Linked DNA regions of Danio rerio. The protein of the gene in region 1 interacts with the protein of each later gene in a biochemical or structural test. Links are inferred from orthologs where the notes say so. Each region holds a gene or a part of one and is shown on either strand. Other genes may lie near its edges.

What was found. The genes of interacting proteins can lie anywhere in the genome.
Region 2: of the proteins of uba1 (region 1) and ube2h, one has a biochemical effect on the other in vitro, tested with the Homo sapiens proteins (3 studies listed by BioGRID, with this or other methods). The link is inferred for Danio rerio from reciprocal best matches to the Homo sapiens genes UBA1 and UBE2H.
Region 3: of the proteins of uba1 (region 1) and ube2q2, one has a biochemical effect on the other in vitro, tested with the Homo sapiens proteins (3 studies listed by BioGRID). The link is inferred for Danio rerio from reciprocal best matches to the Homo sapiens genes UBA1 and UBE2Q2.
Region 4: of the proteins of uba1 (region 1) and ube2z, one has a biochemical effect on the other in vitro, tested with the Homo sapiens proteins (3 studies listed by BioGRID). The link is inferred for Danio rerio from reciprocal best matches to the Homo sapiens genes UBA1 and UBE2Z.

What each region holds. Positions count from the first base shown.
Region 1 is NC_133198.1:23,551,948-23,555,447, forward strand, and holds part of uba1 (ubiquitin-like modifier-activating enzyme 1), read left to right. Parts: intron 1-1,385; coding exon 1,386-1,502; intron 1,503-1,668; coding exon 1,669-1,727; intron 1,728-1,828; coding exon 1,829-1,997; intron 1,998-3,439; coding exon 3,440-3,500. UniProt on the Homo sapiens protein: Catalyzes the first step in ubiquitin conjugation to mark cellular proteins for degradation through the ubiquitin-proteasome system.
Region 2 is NC_133179.1:15,592,715-15,596,995, forward strand, and holds the start of ube2h (ubiquitin-conjugating enzyme E2 H), read left to right. Parts: upstream 1-1,481; 5' UTR 1,482-1,600; coding exon 1,601-1,653; intron 1,654-4,281. Other genes in the region: zc3hc1 (zinc finger C3HC-type protein 1), read left to right, coding at 8-220, 308-379. UniProt on the Homo sapiens protein: Accepts ubiquitin from the E1 complex and catalyzes its covalent attachment to other proteins. E2 ubiquitin conjugating enzyme that transfers ubiquitin to MAEA, a core component of the CTLH E3 ubiquitin-protein ligase complex.
Region 3 is NC_133200.1:31,836,088-31,840,023, forward strand, and holds the start of ube2q2 (ubiquitin-conjugating enzyme E2 Q2), read right to left. Parts: upstream 2,801-3,936; 5' UTR 2,629-2,800; coding exon 2,470-2,628; intron 1,132-2,469; coding exon 1,027-1,131; intron 1-1,026.
Region 4 is NC_133178.1:22,333,959-22,337,908, reverse strand, and holds the start of ube2z (ubiquitin-conjugating enzyme E2 Z), read left to right. Parts: upstream 1-1,150; 5' UTR 1,151-1,488; coding exon 1,489-1,877; intron 1,878-3,327; coding exon 3,328-3,400; intron 3,401-3,950. UniProt on the Homo sapiens protein: Catalyzes the covalent attachment of ubiquitin to other proteins. Specific substrate for UBA6, not charged with ubiquitin by UBE1. May be involved in apoptosis regulation.

The DNA of each region.
Region 1 (3,500 bases):
AACCATCACATGATCTCTTTTAACAAAATAACAACCTTTTTTTTCTGGAATCTTTTCTTGTCAAATAAAATTGATTCTACTCGGTTATGTGCATACATTTTTTATGCGCATTTTCAAAATTGATGGCCATCATGGCGTTTCCGGCAGCTGATTTTTTTTTATTTTGATGCCCATATTCAAAATAGTTTGGATGGAAATGTAGCTACTGGTTTAATTTGTTAGTGAGAGAAACATATGCTTTTGCCAGGCGCCAAAACAATTATGATGAAAAGGATATGAAACCTCTAATAAGATGTTAATTTGATTCTCATTTTTGAAAACAGACTTGTGGTTTTGCCAAATTTAAGGGCCTGTTTACATCTGGTGTTAAGATGCACTTTTGTTGATCCAGCTTCAAGTGGACAATGATAAATAGCAGTGCAAAGTAAGTTCTGAAAGGTTTTAAGCTTGTCCACTTGTAGTTGAATGTGCTCAATCAGGCCACCTATTCTCTGACTACTGCCGTAATTCTTAAACAATATAGGACATGTTGCTGAAGCTCACTAACCATATAAGAATTAAACTTTGCTCTCTGAAATCGGACGTTTGATTTGAAGGTGAAATAAAATGTAAAAAGCATAATGTTTTACAGAATTAGATTATTTTTTACCAGCAAAATTTTGTAGCTGTTAGAGATCTGAAAACCCCATACATACTAGGCATGGGCCAGTATAAGTTCCTGACGTTATGATAACCTTCACGGTATTGTAATTACTGCTCTAAAATAAGTTGTTTTAATTATTTTTTTAAATATCTGGGTATAAAACTAAATCTTTTACCCATTGAAAATTTTATTTTATTTAAGAAACATTTATAATATTTTGGAAACATGTCAGGCTAAATAATTAAAATTATCATTGACTTCTCTCTTCATTTGTTTCATAAGCACAGATTTCTTTACAACACATTTAAAAAAATACTTTATAAAAACCTTAGATATACTTTAGGAATGGTAAAACAGAAAATATTTGCAGTTTTAAATCTTTGACTTTTGCAAACTGCAGGAAACCTTGAAAGCGTTTTTTGTCCCAGGCCCAATACGTACACCTGTTTTAGGAATGGAAAGGAAAGACGGATAAATGTGTTGGCTGTAATTTCTACATTTGTAGACTTGAAACAATTCAATAAAACACATTTTGATGCCAGATGTAAAAGTTTATCTGGAACATTATTATTTTTTTACTGTACAGAGACATTTTGCTTTTAATGACTGTACTTTTTGTTATGAAGTAAACTCGCTTTCAACTCGCATGATGAAATTCATGAAAATTGCTGTTAAAGTAACAGTATTTAGGCACTACTACTCGCACTTTCCTGCGAAAAATATATTTCTTCTTGTTTTCCAGATGTCCAGCTCGCCGCTGTCCAAGAAGCGTCGCGTGTCAGGATCAGAGACGAAGACGGGATCCCATTGCTCCTCCTCTAACTCTGTCAGAACTGAACTGTCACACACACCAGCTAACGTATGTTCAAGTCAATACTTGTTTTGAACACCACTGGGGCTTGAACATATTTAGAGAATTTTATCTTCATTCTTTACTGCGCTTGTGTTTTTTGAAAGGCAGCCAGTTTCATAAGTTATGTGCATGGCTATTTATAGTCTGCTAACTGTGGTTTTGGTCTCTGCAGGGCATGGCTAAGAATGGAAATGATGCTGAGATCGACGAGGGCCTGTACTCCAGACAGCTGTGAGTCTGGCCTGCATTTTAGTTTGATGTATCATAATGTTTTTTTGAGCAAGCAAACCTGATCATGTGAGCAGAAGCTAAATTTAGTATACGTTTCTCAGGTACGTGCTGGGTCATGATGCTATGAAGCGTATGCAGAGCTCTAATGTTCTTATCTCGGGACTGCGAGGTTTAGGGGTAGAGATCGCTAAGAATGTCATTCTGGGTGGAGTCAAAAGCGTCACCCTGCACGATCAGGGAGTGGCCGAGTGGAAGGACCTTTCATCACAGGTCAGTGGTTGGTCATGAGTCATAACTGTAACTGTGTGAAAGCAAAACAGCCCTTGCTGATAGTTTTGTGCGTTGAGTAAGGGGCTAAAATTACGTTTAAAAAAAAAAAGTCTACAAACAACAATTAAATTACACCGTCATTCATAGTTTGGGTTCAGATTTTGAAAGGTTTATTCAAAAATCTGAGTTTGATTTTTATTGTTTTGCTATGAAATGCTGTTCTTTGTATTGAGGAAAATGTATTTTTCCACCAAAAATATTAATCTGCACTATTTTCAGTATTGATATTGACATGTTTTTTTTTTAATAGATAATTACAAAATATGCATTATTTTAAGGATCCTGTGATACTGAAAACAATGAATGCCTGCTGAAAGTTGGGCTTTGCTATCACATGAATTAATGTTTAACAAATATATTTCAATAGAGGAAAATATTATTTAAAAGTTTAATTTGTGAAAGAATTTGTCATTGCATGTGAGAGTGTATGGATGTTTCCCAGTACTGGGTTGCAGGAGGAAGGGCATCCGCTGTGTAAAACATGCTGGATAAGTTGGCAGTTTATTACCCCTTTCTCTTGGCCCTTGAAACAGAGTGTTAAGGGGAAGGGCTTCAAAATTTATCTCTAAGAAATGGGACACCACTACAACACCTGCACACGTCATCATGAGCTCTTGCTTCATATGAGATTGATGAAGGCGACTGCTGTAGTTATACCAGTTGCGTTTTTTTTGTGGTATTTATCTTCAGCATATCATTGAAGGCATATATTATGTTAAAATGATATAATGTAGCAATTAGCTTGTAACTGTACTGTGCTTTTACACCGTGGCCATAATCATCTATGTAAACACGCGCAAACAACATTAACATTATATAAAAGGTCATTCACAGCCACTAGAAATTTCTTACAGGCTGTTCGTGTGTCATCGAGTGACAGAATGTTGTGGGACTGCTATACAGGAGTTAATATTAGGCATTATTGATGCTAAAATTTACTGTGATTTTTATTTTTTAAAGCATGATGGTAAAACTTGAAGGCTGTTATGAATGTATTAAAACGTGTTTGTCGTAAAAATTCGTAATAATGACAAAAAATATGAATTTGTGCATCTCCTGATTCCGGGTGAAGATATGCTGCCATTGTAGAATTGGGATGAAAAAAAAATTAAATGAATGAATAAACGTGTACGTCAGTTCAAAATATTACTGTTATTATTATTATTATTATTATTATATATAGATTTTTTTAAAGGCAATGTTGGTGAGCACAAGAGACTTTTTCTAAAATAATTTTTAAAATCTTACCAAACCCAAACTTTTGTACTGTTCTCTACATAAACAAATGAAAAAAAATCCATATATTGTTTCTGGAAGTGTAAGAATAAACATTAATAATCTACAGTAGTAGAAATACAATTTTGTTTGCTTCATGTTCCTAGTTTTACCTGCGTGAGGAGGATCTTGGGAAGAACCGTGCTGATGTCAGTCAGCCTCGACTGG
Region 2 (4,281 bases), on another chromosome or scaffold:
CTTACAGGAAGGCCTGTTGCACAGAAATATGTTTGACCCAGTAGCCCAGCACAGGGACTGGTGTCCTTGGGTGAGTGTGGAAAAAGAGGAGGACAATCAGGACGCCTCTGAATTTGTTGGCTGTGAAGCAGAGCTCCCTCAACCAGGCTGGAAAGCAGTGCTTGCCCTGTTTTTATCCATGAAACAAAGCCTCAATCCAGTGGGAGCCAGTCCATCACAGGTGAACCATATTCAACATATCTGCATTTTGTTGAAATTATTAAACACTTTTCATTCCTGTGACACTCTGTTTTTACTTTTCATTCAGGGTCCTCATGACAAATCAAAAAGGGTATTTTCAATATTTCGACAGTGGCAGGTGTCATCCCCATCCCAGTAGTGTGTGTTGGACTGGGAAAGCCTGCTGATGTTAACCTAGTGGTACGCTGCTCTTTGTAATATTTACAGTAGTTTCATATCCGAGTGTTTCTTGATCATGTGAGTCTTGTTTACAGTAATGGGTTTGGTTGGGACGGTAAATCCACACGGATTGAGCTGGATTGTGCTGAAAGATCTCATTTTGGAGCAGAAAAGCCTGGCAGAGTTCTTCTAGAAATTGTAACTTAACCACACTGTTTTGAATTCTGGGTCTGTCTGTTCGGCCTTTGAGCAACAACAAACCAAAGCTCTTTACATCTCATGGACTGCCAAATAGTCCATTACCACCTTATTACACTGGACAACATGGTAGTTGGATCAAAAACTAACACTTTTCATATTATAGTATAGCTAAGGGGAACCAGTGTTTGCAGGCTTGTCTTTTTTTTGGCATTTTAAAGTAAGTATTCCATAAATGTGAATGGACGAACACTTTTATGTATAATTTATGACCTATCTTTTACGCATATACCAGCTGAAATAGATGCCACATTTAGAAAAGGAGTGCCAATTTTTTTGGTTTTGAGCAGCAAGTTCTTTCTCTAGTGTCCTGCATTGTGCATGCAAATATCTGCTTAAATCTAATAAAAATAATCCTTTTGCTGGTTTCCACCATGTACGTCTTGTCATACTTTTGTCTTAAAAGGATACACCAACTTAACATTTGACTGCTGTGGCTTTTACACACTTGTAAAATGCAGTGTTGTTATGTTACAAGAAAATTGTGTCTCATTATCAGTGTTGACCATCAAAACTGTAATAGCGTTTAAAGACAAGAAGTGTGTTGATTTAAAATACATCATAACAGAGGGGGTTTGACCACCATAGTTGTCTTTATAGCTAACTAAAAACTACCATTTTGAACGTACTACAAATTTGAGTCGTCCCCTTGTTTATGACACGTCCAAAACACCGCATAGGAGGAGGGGGACACCTTTCGTCGCGCAGACATGACGTCATCGGCGGAGGGATAGATAGCTGTGAGAGAGAGAGAGCAGTGCGGGCAGAGGACTACCAGTACTATCCGCTGCGGACAGAAAGTGGAGGGCGAAAAATAACTCTCCAAACGACAGCTTGCCGTATGCCAATGTTCAAAAATACTCAGTTTCGGTAGAGGCCAAGGGATCGAGAATCAGTCGCAGAAGATTTGAGCATCGGTCATCTGAAAGAGGAGTGTATAAAGATGTCGTCTCCAAGTCCGGGCAAAAGACGAATGGACACCGACGTGGTGAAACTGTATCCTTTAAAATATAAACAACACAATTACTGTAACGCTGTGGCCGTCAAATATGTCAGATATTCACCGAATCAGCCTTAAAATGCATCTCCTGCTGGTTTTAAACAATTATACGCGTCCGTCTGCTCAGAAAAACAGTTGTCAAAGCCAGTGTAATGGTTTGTTAGATGGTGATCAGCTTTTGACAACAAAAGTGTTTTGATGGTTGTCAGTGCGGCCAGCAACAAAGGCAAGAATAACTGAGGCTTATTTTGAAAATAACACAACTCAGCTAAAAAAATCAGATTTTTCTCGACGGGATTTGTTCGTTGTCAGTGTTGAAAGGGGGAAATGTTGCTCTGTGTCCTTTGAGTGTTTTGTCATCGCCTTTCTCTTCAAATCCATGCCAACGTTTGACATCCACAGGATTCAAGCACATATTTATATAGATACCAGTCGGATATATTTATTTATATGCTCTCTGACAAATCCAGACGTGTTTTTGACCAAAATGGTGATTGTTACTTTCCATTTGGCCTGCTAGCGAGCTAGCACAACCTCAGAAGCCAGTTATTTATTTATTTGTTGATTGTTTTTGTTGCTGTTTTATCATGAAAACGGACAATTATACGCATTTAAACATCGTCAATCGCTTGTTTATTTATAGTACACGAAAACAACGAGATATTCATGTGCAGTTTGTTTGTTTAGATGCAACGCTCTTTAAATAACAACAAATCTGAAATGCCAAACTTCAAACTCGGCGTCATTGTATAACCCTGTCTCAATGTGTTTTTCTCTCATATGGAGGATCCATCTTGCTTTGGCTTTTGTTAAGGTCTAATGTTCTCGTTTGAGGGTTACATGTTTTGACAGGAAATTTACCATATTTTTGTTCGCATTTTAAAGCTCTCGAGAACAAGGGAAGTTATGTTGTTGTTATATTGACTGGGTGCGGATGTTTGTCTCTGTCACCACTCCACAAGAATCCCTTTAGTTTACTTGACATAAATGACACACGCACCAAAAGTTTTGTAGAGTTGTTTTCGTCCGCTTTTGCTCAAGACAAGCCGTTTGGTATTATGCGTGCAACATGCCTTCATGCGCAGTGTGTGGTTTGGCTGTGCTGTCAGTGCGTTTTGTCATTGTTTTTGTCTATCTAAGCATCTAGAACACGCAGTTCCGTTGGCTTTTTAGACGTTGGGTTGATCATTTATGAAGTGCAGTTATGTCGAGTTTTTCAGAACAAAAGAAACCTGCAAAGATTTGTTTGCTTTACAGATCAGGAAAGTTTTCATGCTGTCGGGGCTTGCCATCTGTTTAGCTTGGGTCGTTTATGTGTGATTACGACGTGTGCGCATTAAAAAGTAACCCATGAAAGACTCTTTGGGATGTTGTAAAGTCCTGAAAGGATCTGGGAATGTCTCGTTATGTTTATGTCTCCAGCAGTAGGAACTAGCCGTATGATTGGCCACTCTGTTACTACCCGGAAACTGCAAGTAGGTGGGATTAAAGAGTTGAGTGACAGTATTTTTTCCTAGTTAAAGCTAGTGTATAATTTGTGCTCAGTTATTTAGATTTAAGCTATTCGCTTAGGTTTATTTCTTGAAAAATGAAAAAGTTTGAACAGGTCTGTTGTTCAAATTGTCAGGATATTTTTTCTGTTTTTAAACTTTTTTTTTTTGATCTTCAACAAGTAAAGAAAAATGTAGTTCAACAGCTGAGTATCTGGTGGAAAAACTACATTTCCCATAAATCTGTAGAAAGTGTTTACACAACATCATAATCACCTAAAATGGAACAACTTTGTGTGTGTTTGGCCATTCAGTTATATTCCGGTTGTAATTAGAGGCCTGGATATGCTTTTAAAAATACATACAGGTTTTTGTAAATGATGTTGATTTTATGCAAAAATGGTGACTTTGTGCCCATATTACATGTTCAGTCTAAAGGGTATATGCCGAGCTAGTGCTGTTCCCATGCTGATAAACTTCCGGTTACCTGTTATTGTTAGGTTTTTTTTCCATTTTAAATGATACCTTATACAGCATCGATGCTGTAATATAGTTAAAACACAATCAGTTAAATAGACTCTGGCATTCATTTAGTTGCTCAAGTGTAAAACGAGGTTAGCGCAGAAGCTCCATTGAATATACTGGGGTAATATAAATGCTCATATTTTAAAGACATGGCGGGGGAAAATGTAATTTAATGCAGTGCTTCTTGTACAATCTGAGACCCACTTTATATCGGATATCACTCAGCCCATGAAAATCGCTGATTTTTAAAAACAGACTTTAAACGCGCCGTTTTTGCAATGGCAAACAGTTCATCGGAAGGGCTTAACCCAGGTTAAAAGTCCTATTAGCATGCTTCGGCATATACCCTATTGACCTTATTCCTCGCGTATGAGCGGGCACAGCTATTTGAATCTCTTTAGATTGAGACTTCCAGTCTCATTCACTTACGTATATTTTTAGACGTTAAAAACAACTCGTTCTTAGTCGTCTCACACATGATTTTCGCCGCTGGTCTCTTCTCCCATTATCAATGGCAGGCAGAATCAGCTGCGTAAAGATGAATGTACTCCCTAAATTCTTATACCTTTTTCAGTGTATTCCAATTTTTATCCCAAAATCTTTTTTCGC
Region 3 (3,936 bases), on another chromosome or scaffold:
TAGGCTTATGGCTATATGAAGAGAGAATTATGAGTAGGGTGGGAAGTTTCGTGAGTCGAAAACGAGTGATGAACTCCCGGTAATCTCGCGTCTCCCTCCCGATCCTTAAATAGGCATTGTTATGCACCCTTCTCACCCCTCCCCACCGCATCTCTCCTCAGACACGTCGCACGCGCACCCTGTCAATCACCACCAAACCACCACCTCTCCTGACAGTTTAGCGGGATGCTGGAAAATGAACCCTGACACTCTGACCAATGTAAGGAGAGTTTACTCGCACGTGACTTGTTTTAGCTCCTTTGGTCCGATTAGAAACTTTGTAGTGTGAAAGCGAACCGCTCCAAAAGCAATGTAACGATTGTAATCTCTGTTTCGGAACAACTGAATCGATTCACAGGTGTGAAAGCACCATAAGACTCTTTCCATCCACTTTAAGACAATATAACCACTTTTCAACCGTAAACACTAGTGAGATTTTAAATTACAGTATATTAATTAAATATTAATGTAAGAAATTAATCCAAAACTAAAACAATATTCATATACTGAAAAAATTATATTAAATCTAGCTAATTTAGCAGGTTGGCACCTATAGAATTGCAGAAATAATGGTGTTGCATTGGTAACTGCAGTAAACAAATCACCATAATTTCAAATCTAGTAGGACTTCAATGATTTCATAAACTACACAGCATCCTTATATTCATAGATATAATTCAGGCAAACTTTAGCATGCAATTATACATTGCCTAAACTAAAATGATATTAAATTTAAGTTTTACTTTTATACTTTTATCTTACTTTTTACTTTTAAACAATCCTTATTGGGGTCAATAAAAATTCTGTTTCAATTCTCAAAAACCGTTATGCTGCTTAATATATGTATTTTTAAGTGTATTTGCTACAGTTCTATCAAGATGAAATAAAAGTATTAATTGTCTACAGGGTAAAAAATTAACAGCCACCAATCAAGCATCAAAATACCATCTCATTACCATCTCAAGTGGGAAAAAAACACTTCCTTACCAAAGCATTGCCTTTTCTGACATCCTCCAGTCGTTCAAGGACTTCAGTCAGACTTGGATCATCAGAATCAACAAACCATATTGGTGGTGTTGAAGGATAAGACTCCTACAAAAACATCAAGAGTAACAAAATCAGCATCTTCATACCCGTATCAAACCCATTTGTCCTTTCACAAGGTTGCTAAAGTCTTCTCATTTCAGTTCAGCCACTTGCATGACAAACAGCCACATTAACAGATGCCAAACCAATGAATCAAACTCTGCAGCTTCTTCTCTCAATGAGAAAAGACCACAGCAGACCCGCGCAGTGTTGTTTATTTCAGAGAAGTGTTTGTCAGAGCTGATGATCTTCCACGTAAAATCATGTGAACATTATGTTCTCATCCACTAGTTAGAAATCTCCTCCCATTGTGTCTTCCATCAAGGGAGAGCCAAAATGATGGCGATGTGATATTCTTTTGCTTGTCAGGACCATAAACTGACCTCATAGCACCTCAAATCAGTATACAAGCTCAGCAAACTAACTGGCCTCTAGAACACACAAAAAACAGCAGCCAGTTGCACTGCAGTGGCGTCGTTTTGCAAAAACAATGTAGGTTCTGATGACAACACTCCTTCATAATGTAGTGCAGTTAGCATACACTCAACATACATGCAGATTTCGCTCAAAGATGCGAAATGGCAAATAAACGCGATGACTGAAAACGCGCTAATGTTGCTAGCACATGTAAGGCAACATTAACAGTTACGAAAATATTATACATTTATGATAAAATCATTTACATGGCGAAAAACTGAACAAACTTCGAGCATTTTAAATCTACGCATTTCGTAGCAGGCCCAAGTTAGCTGAACGGAGAACTTCGACAAACCAGCTAAACAAATTGCGAAATTAGCTAGCCGAGGATTTAACAAACTGTTGTGTTTACACAAAATGTTTCAATGCTCGATAAATAATCCACAAACAACATCCCAAATCCGCGATAAAAAGATTTTAAAAAATAAGTTCACCCCAAAACGTCGTTTAGCAAGCTAAACTACCAGCTAAGCCAAATTAGCACACAAGCTAATTACATGACAACTAATTTAAAGTGACGCAGAATGCAAAACATCCACCGGTCTTGGTCAACCATCTCCTGTACACAAGAATAAATAACGCTGACGATTAGCTGATGGTTTTATTAAGCCAACAAAGTGAAACCGAGAGCAAACGCAGTTAACTTTGTTAGCTAATACACCAGCAAGCTAAGCGTAGCTCGCGCTGCTTGTTTAGCAGTGATTTTGACATCTTTTTGATTATAAAACTGAACATTGATCACCCTAAATGCTTTTATTCGCACTATCATGGCTTTATTCGAGCAAACAGGGGCTTGTGGGTGGTGTTGTTTCACTCGGCCTTGCCTTGTTCGCATGTAAACCTACACACGGGGCTGGTGGATCTTACCGTGATGTTGCAGTGAATAATCAGCAGCTTTTCTCCCGTCACATTAAACTGGCAGCTCAGTTCGTCTGGCTTCCAGTCGATTATTCGAAATCGCTCATGGTTTGGGTCAAAGATTGACTCCAGGAACTTTAATTCGGCCTTCAGCCCCGACACCGACATCTTCCACTCATCTCATCAGCAGCCAGGCCGCGGGGGGAAGGGACGCACGGAGACCGCGAGCGCGCAGCTGATCCAGCGAGAGTGCGTGTGTGTGAGCGCGCGGCGGCGGAGGGAGGCTGGAGGAGAGAAACAACAAAGAGGGGGCGGGGAGAGAGAGGCGAACTGGAGGCCGGAGAGACGACAAAACAACGCCCGCCAAGAAATACTGCGAGAGAGGGGAAGTGGGTGATCGAGATCTGCGTGGACTACTGGGACGCCAATTGTGTTTTTCTTAGGTGAATGTGTGGTTGACCATTCTTCGTCTTCTGTATGACAGTCCTCTTGTATTATCCAACATATAAAAGAAAGAAAATTACATAATAATAATAATATGCATTTATTTTTATTATGCAAGAAAGAACATTTACAAAGACACAATATTAATAAAAAGACAAAAAGGGTTACATACATAAAATCACAGGAAATTAAACAAATTAAATGCTTCACAACAAGAAAGAGTTTTACGTGCAATTTACACTCTTTTAAGGAGTTCACATATAAATCAAAGTCCTTTCTGAAAATAAAAATAGGGGTGTTTCTTTGAAATTTTACATTTAGGGATGTAAAAATTAGCCAGAAAAAGCTATAAATTAATAATAAATTTTCAAAGAGAAGAATCTAAGTTCAGAAAGTAACCAACTACTACAATTTTGGGGAAATCAGGGTGTTGTTAGGGTTGAAAGGGAAAGGGAAAGGGATTAACCCCAAAGAAGTCAAAGAAAGAAGTTGTAATTCAACCTACTAAAATACCCCCACTTTCAAAGGGTGATCTACTCCACTCTTAATAATAGGATTATACATGGTTTAATGATAAATAAAGTTTTTTGTAGTTGTCTTTTAACAATAAATTGTAAAGCTTTGTGACTTGTAATACCAAAAAGGAAAAAAATTGATAAATTAACCCATTTCTCATTTATTAGTCTGTTATGAGCCATATCATACCTCTTGAGCCTCCTACACTGCAAAAAATGCTTTTCTTACTTAGATTTTTTGTATTGTTTCTAGCCCAAATATCTACAAATTTTTAAATCAAGAAGCATTTTCTAGACAAGCAAAACTTATTGTCGTGTTTTAAGAAATAATATGCCAAAATAAAGTGAGTTTTTTCTTAAATCAAGCAAAATAATCTGCCAATGGGGTGAGCAAAGTAATCGTGTTTTTTGATTTGTGATAAGATTATTTTGCTTATCCCATTGGCAGATTATTTTGCTTGATTTAAGAAAAAACTCACTTTATTTTGGCATATTATTTCTTAAAATAAGACAATAT
Region 4 (3,950 bases), on another chromosome or scaffold:
ATATATAATACAAACTTTAATATTTTTGACAGTTAATGTTGTAATAAAAATGAATCAATCACTGCAGGAGACCTTTATTAACCAGCTGTTGATTAGCTCACAAATCTATTCATAGAGTTGTGAGCACTGTATTGTGGATGGATGAACTGTATTGGACTTGTTTTGGATCCTAGATACAAAACAGTCATTATCTGCCATTGTACAGCTTGAAACTGTCAGAAGCTATATTTTTATATCTTCAAATTGGCTAAAAGAAGAAAGTCACACAGATGCTATGGGGTGAGTAAATAAAGGGCTGATTTTCTTTTTAATGTGAATAAGGGTTTTTCATCTGTTGAACATGATGGAAAATGATTTCAGGCCTGTAACTGGCCTATTGAATAGAGTGTTTTTTTTATTATTATTTCTGAATAAGTGGACTTTTTTGCAAGTATTCTTCTCGATTTTCTATTTAATTATGCGTTTTACTGGCATTTTAAGAACTAATCTTTGATCAGCTTTCCGGATGGTGATCGTAACCGTTGTTAAAGTGCTTACCATAGTAGGCTATTTTACTAAGAAGCTTTTATTTTCAAATTTATAAACCTGTAAGTTAATTAAGATTTATAAATATTGTTATGAGATTAACATTTAAAAAAAATAAAAAGAAATATGGAAAAAGTTGTTAATAATTTATTATTATCCATAATTTAAAAAAAATATATATAGGAATCTAGTAAAACTTGTTTAAAAATAAAAACTATATGGTCAAATAAAAAATGGCCAGCTCATTAAACTGTCCTTAGTCAGAATTTGGCCACTTAATCAAAATTATAATTAAAAGTTAAATGTGTCTAAAAGCCGCCGCCTTTCTGTACTTTCTACAATTTATGATGGCGTAGTAGTCAAAAATATGATGTTGCCATGGTAACAGAAATAACAACGTAATCTGAGACTAATAAAAACTTTGGATAGTTTCCGTAAACTGATATAGATGAAACGCTTGCAAATGTACGCGTCTCGTGCTAACTTTTACTAATAAATTAACCAATAACTATTATAAGGCGTGTCTTACGCCTGACATCGTGTGTATGTCGCATGTTAAATAAATACATTATAATTCTTCACAGGAGTGCACCACTAGACGACGCTGTTTCCACCCAAACGAGGAGGAAGTGAAGAGAAATGAAACAACATTTATAAACAGGCCTGGCCGAGCGAGGAGAAACTACGTTTACGGGCGTTTAGACACTGTTACTCATTGATGTGAACGTTGAATGCTTCGCCGAACACTGCTAATTCGTATAAAACGTTAAACTTAGTTCCTCCTTTGAGATAGGTCGTTATAATAGTTGAGGTCGGAAGAGGGAAACGGGAGAATATGTAGGAGTTATTTCTCGTCCTGCCCTCCTCCACTTGCTTCCGAGCGAGGAGAAACAGAAACTGCAAAGGAAACTGATTGAACTGACAGCTGGTCAAACAGTTTGCGGCTCTTCGGTCTCATCGGCGATGGCGGACAGCGTTACGGAGGAGGCCAACGGTTCCGTGGGGGCGGCGCAGGGCCACGGAGCGCAGTTGTCCGCGAGTTTGGGTAATTCTATACCGGGGCATTCATCAGCCTCACCGCCTCCGGCAGACACCGGCCTGGCTGTGGTCGAGCCCGGGATGGCGCATACCATCACTCCGGCCGTGGAGAGCGGGCTCGGTGTGCTCACCCATGCGGTCAGTTCCACAGTCCCCGTGGCCGTTCTTCCATCCCTGCCGCCCGGTATCGGTTCTGGAGTCCCGGCCGGAGCGGGCCTCCTGTCTCAAATTCACGCCACCTCCTGGGATCCCACGTTAAGCACCGACTGGGACAACGAAAAGGCGTCTCAGCAGTGTATTCTCCGAATAAAAAGGTAACGATAGACTGTCTTGAAGTGTCAGAGTTTGTTTAGGGAAATTTAAGAGAAGTTTTATGTCAGCCTCTTTGCGATTGAAAAGTAAATATTAATGCTGAATGAACTTAATCGATTCAATTTGTAGCTGTCATTTTGTGCTGCTGGCATGGAAATAGTGGACCAAAGCAATAACACATTGTTAAACATTTTTAGATTTTTTATTTTGATGGAACGTTTACTTAATAAAATTTTATTTCAATCCTAAATATACATGTCTTGGTTAAGCCTTTAATAAAATGTTGAGGAATTTAGGTCAAATTAATAAATAGTGATAACCTTAAAATGAAATCATTCAAAAATTTATTGTTATTATACGAAGTTGTTTTTCATTCTAGTTGGGTGTTCTCTGCAAGTCAAAATGTGTGAGGGCTTAATCTTTTATTGTATTGATGCTTTAAAAGCTAAAGTTGTACATTTAATTAAGCAATGTTATTTTCAATAAACCATATGCTTTGGAACTTTCAATTCATCAAACACCATTCTCTGCTGTTGGATAAGGAGATATTTAGGCTTTGAGCGTCCAGAACACAGCTATATAAATGTGAGAAATTATTATTAATTATATATTTCCATCTTCGATATGGATTGTTTACTTCCATAAACCGTGGCAAATGTATAAATAGTAGACTTTATAATATATGTGTAATTAATTTTTTAAAAAGCAATTGAGTTATGGCAAATTAATAAATAAGACTTTAAACAGTAGTCAAATGGCATTAAAATATTATAAATATGAAAGTTTTAAAAATAAATATATTAATTGTTTAAAGTTAAGTTGTTGTTTTGTTTTTTCTAATTCATTTACATCTTAGTTGTGCACACCTTTCTTCAGTATTAATGGCTGTTGCATACAAAACTGAACATTAAACACACCAATAGTAACTTACTTTATCTGAGTGCAAAGTGTGATTCAGACATCCACCCAACTAGTTATCACTACATTTTGCATTTTAAGTAGAGAAAAAGATTAAGCCAACATCAAGTCCATCTGTACTACCTTGCATGCTGAAACCTTTTTAAGCCCACTGTTACAAGCATATTTGCAGATTAATTTGTTGTGGGCATGTTGCTTTTGAGACACAGTGAGTGTTGCCACTTTTGGGAATTGTCACTTGGCAATGACTTTGGCCTGGGCAATATTTTGATAGATGTCCCCAGAGGACTAATAATGGAAATGTGGACACAAAACCAATGCACTCAGTTACAGCCAGTCAGTTTTGTTTATGTGCGGTTTGACTGTGTAATCCAGGCATTTATTGATCTGATGATTTTCTTGGCATGGTATATATGTGACTTCTGTTTCCGTCTCGTGCTTTGATAAAAGTGGAGGGTTATGTGACGGATACTTGTTTACTGGAGTAATTTCTCAGTGTTGTTAGTGATTCTCTGTCTTCTTTCCTCCATTTAGAGACATTATGTCCATTTATAAAGAACCCCCTCCAGGTATGTTTGTGGTCCCAGATCCCCATGACATGACTAAGGTAAGCAGCAACATTTCAGAGACTTGCACAGTTAGTGGTATTTCATCATATCCCACTTTCTTATGCACTCCCTCCATCCTTCCTTCTTTTGTTATAATATTAGTGAACAATAATGCTTTGCACATGCACGGTTCATGCATTGTTATCAATGTGCATTACGTTTACACTACTTATTCAGTTATAAGTTTAAATAATATAAGGGCAAAATTAAAAAAAAAAAAATTAATTATTCATTGAAGTCTGCACTGATTCTTTCTGTGAGCTTTTCAGTATGTGATGATCAAATTGTTTTTAGTTACAAGATTTTGGGGTATATAAACACTTCTGTAAATCAAAATGTGTGCCGGCTTAATCTTTTATTGTGTTGATGCTTTAAAGGGTAAAGTTATACGTTTAATTTAGCAATGTTGTTTTTAATAAACCATACTCCTTTGGGGATGTCCAGATTTGATTACCTGATCGGAAATCAGGCTCGATCACACTCTGAGTTTTAGACTTTGAATCAGACGTTACTTATCTATATATATATATATATATATATATATATATA